2 linked regions of the Mus musculus genome follow. The protein of the gene in region 1 binds, or shares a complex with, the protein of each later gene. Links are inferred from orthologs where the notes say so. Each region holds a gene or a part of one and is shown in the gene's direction. Other genes may lie near its edges.

The links.
Region 2: Actr3 (region 1) and Arpc5 share a complex: the UniProt entries of both Homo sapiens proteins name them as parts of the arp2/3 complex. The link is inferred for Mus musculus from reciprocal best matches to the Homo sapiens genes ACTR3 and ARPC5.

The regions. Positions count from the first base shown.
Region 1 is NC_000067.6:125,395,062-125,397,731, reverse strand, and holds part of Actr3 (actin-related protein 3), read left to right. Parts: intron 1-187; coding exon 188-280; intron 281-499; coding exon 500-625; intron 626-2,580; coding exon 2,581-2,664; intron 2,665-2,670. UniProt on the Homo sapiens protein: ATP-binding component of the Arp2/3 complex, a multiprotein complex that mediates actin polymerization upon stimulation by nucleation-promoting factor (NPF).
Region 2 is NC_000067.6:152,769,541-152,772,818, forward strand, and holds part of Arpc5 (actin-related protein 2/3 complex subunit 5), read left to right. Parts: intron 1-1,823; coding exon 1,824-2,000; intron 2,001-3,278. UniProt on the Homo sapiens protein: Component of the Arp2/3 complex, a multiprotein complex that mediates actin polymerization upon stimulation by nucleation-promoting factor (NPF).

The DNA.
Region 1 (2,670 bases):
GTCTCATAGTACAGGCATGGCTTGTTAATTGAATCTTGCCTGACTTCTATCCTCAGTAGCTGTAGTATGTTGGTCACCATGGTCCTTTCACTCCTGAGCTGGATTGTTATTAACTTGAACATTACACTAACACAATGTTAACATAACAATTCTATACACTCATGTATAAAATATACTTAATTTTCAGTTTGCTAATCCAGATTTTACACAACCTATCTCAGAAGTTGTAGATGAAGTCATTCAGAATTGCCCCATTGATGTCCGGCGTCCTCTCTACAAGGTTAGTGTTTACAGCAAAAACTGGAGTTTTAAGTTTTCTTTTCATAATATTTAATAGCATATTTTAAAGCCTTTATTCTTGTTCATTGTTGAATATTAGAGAATTGTGTCTTAGAAAAGACACAATTGAATTCTTGTATATTTGTCTCTAGATTGCTTCTCTTTTAAAATAAAGATCATAATTTTTGGTTTTTTTTGTTTTTGTTTTCTACCACCACAGAACATTGTCCTCTCTGGTGGTTCAACCATGTTCAGGGACTTTGGACGTCGTTTGCAAAGAGATTTGAAGAGAACTGTAGATGCCAGGCTGAAGTTAAGCGAGGAGCTGAGTGGTGGTAGATTGAAGGTTGGTTTTCTCAACCATTGACAGAGAATGTGGAAGACCCCCTTGTTACTGCATTCTGGACAGGAATGTTTGCCAGCTCTCACTTAGGAGCATTAAGACAATCATGCCAGGCGTCCTGCTGGAAGGTAGCCACTATCCCTAGAATCATGGGTGCAGTTTGTTGCTTGGTACTTTGCTCTGGTTTGAGCTCTGTTGAGAAATGACAAAATGTCACAGCTCAGGCAGACTGCTTGTGCAAAAAAGGTTTTTATGTTTGCTTTCCTCCTCAACCAACCAATTCTTCTGACACTCACATAACTCCACTGTGTGAAAGGCTGACTTGTGTTTCACAGATATAGTTTTAAATCTGTGTAGCAGGGCCTGGTGAGATGCTTGTTGTACACACCCAGTGACCTGACCTGAGTTTGATCCCTAGAATCCATAGAAAGGTGAAAGGAAAGAAGCAACTCTCAGTGTTATCCTCTGTCCTCCTCAAGCATACCATGACACACACATAAAAGTTTAAATTCTGACTTAGGGGAATTCATACATTGATTATAAACACAAGGTATGGCTGTTGACCTAAGACATATTTCACCAGTTGATTTAAGAATGATCTGTCAAGCCAAAGGAAAACAGAATAAAATTAAAAACAGAAGAAAACAAAAACAATGTTATATTATTTAGTCAAGGAACATACATTCCTCTTTCTCTCTCTCTCTCTCTCTCTCTCCTCTCTCTCTCTCCCTCTCTCCCTCTCCCTCCCCCTCCCCCCTCCCTCCCTCTCTCTCTTCCTCCCTCCCTCCCTCCCTCCCTCCCTCCCTCCCTCCCTCTCTTCCTTCCTCCCTTCCTCCCTCCCTCCCTCCCTCCCTCCCTCCCTCCCTCCCTCCCTCCCTCCCTCCCTTCCTCCCTTCCTTCCTTCCATAATTTGGGGTGGTGTGTGTGTACACGCATGCACCTGTGTGCTTGCATTCACACATGTTGAGATCAAAGGATAACTTGAATGAGTTGGTTTGATCCTTTTACCATGTGGGTGGGTCCTGTGGGCAAACTCAGATTGATAACAAATGCCTTTTAACACTGAGCCATCTTGCTGGCCTATTCTCCAGTTAAGGAGCTCTAGGAAGCTTCACTTTGCTCACTGTTTCCTAGCCTGGACATATTTGAAGAGTTCAGGCTGTGTATTTTCTGAACTTTGTCTTGGTATGGGTCTGTTTGGTGTTCCTTCTGGGTGGGTGTAGTTTGTGCTTTGACAGTCACATCACAGAAGCGTTTTCATGTCAGTTTTACTGCGTTTTGTCAGAGAATGCATTGACTTTAACTGCTTGGTAGAGGCTTCCTGCCAGTTTTCTTCTGTGTATAGCCTGTTACCTTTGCATTCCCATGTGTAGAAACTTAAGAGGAGGCTGTCAGGCCATATAGCTGTTCTGTGCTTCATGAGACTTTTCAACCAGCAGTTTTAACATTCATTCTTGTTTTCCTGAAATAGTTGTGGCTGAGGTAGTTGCCAAAAGTACAGTTAACTTGTTCCTGTTTGTGGCTGAAGTAGTTGCCAAAAATAGAGTTAGTTTCTGTCTGCCCTGGTTTTGCCCCATGCATGTCTCCTTATATGTATTTGATTTATATGTTTAGTATTTAATTATACATGATTTATGGAGTACAGTGTGATAATTTGATACATGTATGCAAGTTGTAAGATCAAAGCAAGGTAATAGCATTTCAGTTTCTTTAAACACGCATCATTGTATTTGGAGCCTCTCAACTCCGGTGTGGTAGGGCAAATACTGGTGCTATGCTGTGTGTACTGACAAGTGTGGTCATCTTCATCTGCTGTTCCATCACACCCACTCTAGATAATCTCAGGTCCTGAGTTCTGTCCCTTGGACTTTATAATTATTATTTTTGTGTATGCGCATTTAAACTTAATTGATTGAGAAATTGGTATTTGAATTTACTGTTACTTTGTTACTTTTTAGCCCAAGCCTATTGATGTACAAGTTATTACACACCATATGCAGCGGTATGCAGTCTGGTTTGGAGGGTCAATGCTGGCTTCCACGGTTCGT
Region 2 (3,278 bases), about 27 Mb from region 1:
CGCTGCACACCTAAGGAGTTTCTACAAGGGTTTGTGCTCTTTTAAAAAATAAATAGAATCTTACACTCCAGCTGTGTAGTCATGTACATGATCTTCTTTCCTTAGCAATAGATTATTTCTGTGGCATTTAACTGCTATACACTAGTATGTAACATCTTATATGCAACTGATCCCTGTTATTGCATGTTAGATTTTCTAGTTTTTCCTGCTAAAATTGATCATTTTAAATCTTAATTATTTATGTCAATAAAATTCCCAGAAGAGAAATGCTAGCACAAAAATGACATTTTTTAAAGACTTTTGATACACAAAGCATTGCCAAATCTCTCAGAAGAGCTTTGTAGCTTACATCCCTACATCAGCCCTCCACTGATTCTTAGGGAACTGCTTAGTTGTTTATTGTTTAAAATGCAGGCTAAGCAAAGCCCTGTAAAAGCCTACATCTCAGGAACCTAAGAACCTTAATTGAAGAGTAATATGTAAAAACATAATAATTATTGCAGCCACAAAACTTTATATTGGGGAATTTTTTTTCTTTGCTCCTTAAAAGTTGTTAGGAACATCATTAAATTTTCAATTTTACCCCTTCTGATTTTATGTGGTTTTGTTTGTTTGTTTGTTGATTTTGTTTTTTGGCAGCTTGTGGATAGGAGGTTATAGCTCTAGATGCAAAGATATATAGGGAAATGTCAGTCAGTCTTTAAACTGAAGAGAACGTTGGCGGTACAAACATTATGTAAAACCCCGCCCATAGGAACTCCGAAGACCCCACTGTGTTGAACAGAAGGAGCAGTGAACAGCTGAGAGGGTGGCTTCCGTGTCCCCTCTGCTTAGACAATGCCTAAGGGGACACCTGTGCTTCTGGAACAGGCTCTCCCAGAGGAGAAGTTCAGAGATAAGTATAGGTAAATCTAACGTCTGTAAGTAGGAAAGTTTAAAAAGTTTTACATGGTTTTAAAAGGGATCTTTTAAGAAAATAACCACTCTTGAAAGATCAAACAAGATAGAATTACATAAATCAGTTTTTTTCTTTGGTTAGGAGTTTTTAAGACCAAGAAGTAAATTTAAATGTTATAATAAATTGTTAAATTTTCCCATCAGTCCATCAGTCTATCAGTCCCCAGTTCTGCCTTCAGTTCTATCAAAAAAAATGTGTTCCTGAGCTGGACGTGGGCGCGCACGGACGTGGGCGCACACCCTTAATCCCACAGCTCAGGAGGCAGAAGCAGGCGGGGGTCTGTGGGCTCCAGACCATCCTGTTCTGCAGAGTAACCTCCAGGACAGCCACAGCTACAAGGAGGAACCCGGTCTCTAAAACAGCAAACCAACAAAGAGAGGGGGTTCCCTTCTTACCACCTCGACTCACATGCCAGCCAGAACCAGCCAGTGTTGTTGGAATCACCCCAGTGGGCTTTTGTCTTACTCCTGCCCTCACTGCTGTCCTCCAGACAGTCTTAAAATGGGAAACAGATTGGGTCACTGCTCTTGAATTTCTCCACCGTGTCGTTTCCCAGTAAAAGCCTGAGCCATTACAGTGGCCCGCTGGCCCTCACATGGCCTGTCCTCTCCTGTCTTCTCTCTTTTGCTCCTGCTTCTGCCACCACACAGCTCTGTCACACCAGAATCTTTGGAACACTCTGAACGCTCTGAAACCCACGCTCACAGCACTTGTTCTTCCTTCATCTAATCGCTGGCCATGTTCCCAAGGAGTCTTCTTTCACATCCTCCACGTCAGTCTTGAGATGTCACTCTAGCAGGGCCTTCCTAAGGTTTTGTGCCCAGCATACACATGTCTAAATATTCTGTTCCACATTTGCCCTCAGGACCGTGCAGGCAGCATCGTCTTGAAGGTGCTTATCTCTTTTAAAGCTAATGATATTGAAAAGGCAGTGCAGTCTCTGGACAAGAACGGTGTGGACCTCCTAATGAAGTATATTTATAAAGGCTTTGAGAGCCCATCTGACAACAGCAGTGCTGTGTTGCTCCAGTGGCATGAAAAGGTAAGTTACAATTTACACATCCCTGTAGCTGGCTCCTTTAAAATGGAAGATGCCACCTCTGTCACCTGAGAAGTGACTTGACTGTACACCTTGACTAAAATGAAAAGTTTACATTTGCTTACCAGCCTTGATCTTAAAGGATTCCTTTTTGCACTGCATATTTATTTGCATATACTTAGTACATAAGTGATTATGTACTTGAAATATGAATTCTTTTACATTAATCAAAGGATAGAAATAGCTGGGCAGTGGTGGCATCCACCTTTAATCCCAGCACTTGGCAGAGGCAGGCGGATTTCTGAGTTCGAGGCCTGCCTGGTCTACAGAGTGAGTTCCAGGACAGCCAGGGTTATACAGAGAAACCCTGTCTCAAAAAAACCAAAAAAAAAAAAGGATAGAAATAACCCAAGATAAAGATTAATATATGGTACCTAGAAACAGTGGGGTGTTACTCATCCATGGAAGGGAATGGAGTTTTTGTACATTCTACAATATAGATAAATCCCAGCAACTACATGATGGCTCACAACCATCCGTAATGAGATCTGACACCCTCTTCTGGTGACACTGAAGACAGCTACAGTGTACTTATATATAATAATAAATAAATCTTTAAAACAAAAAAGAAGTATTTATATTTCTACTTGTGTGAAATAGTCTGAAATAGGCAAGCTCAAAGGGATCGAAAGTTATAATAAGTTGCCAAAGGCCATGGAGAAGGAGTATTTGCCTAGCATTCTTGGTTGATCTCATGCACTGTAGTTTTGTATTTCAAAAATTGTTATCGGCATGTATGGCAGTGTATGTCTCTAGAGAGAGGTATCCCAGGCCAAGCTGGTCTACATAATGAATTATATGCTGTACTGGGAGGCTGGTCTCAGGGAGGAAGAGAAAAGGAAATTATTTTTAGTTCTGTATAAGAATTTAGTAGATAGATGAACCAGGTGACTCAGTTGGTTAGAATTTCGTGCCAGCAAACTTGACAACTTGACTCATTCTCTGAGGCCCACATAATGGGCAGAAAGAACTGACTACCTACACACACACACATTCACGTACATTGTACCCACATACATGTACACAAAGCAAGCTTTCATACCTAGCTCTTGTACTGATAAAATACTAACAATAACATAGCCACATCTCTCCATAGAAACGCTGGGATTCCAGGTGTTAACCATTCAATTTGCCTATGATTTTTTTTGTGTACATTGTGGGAATGTAACTCTGTGAGTTAGCACTTTTGATGTGCTGAGCCATCCTTCAGACCCTGAAAAT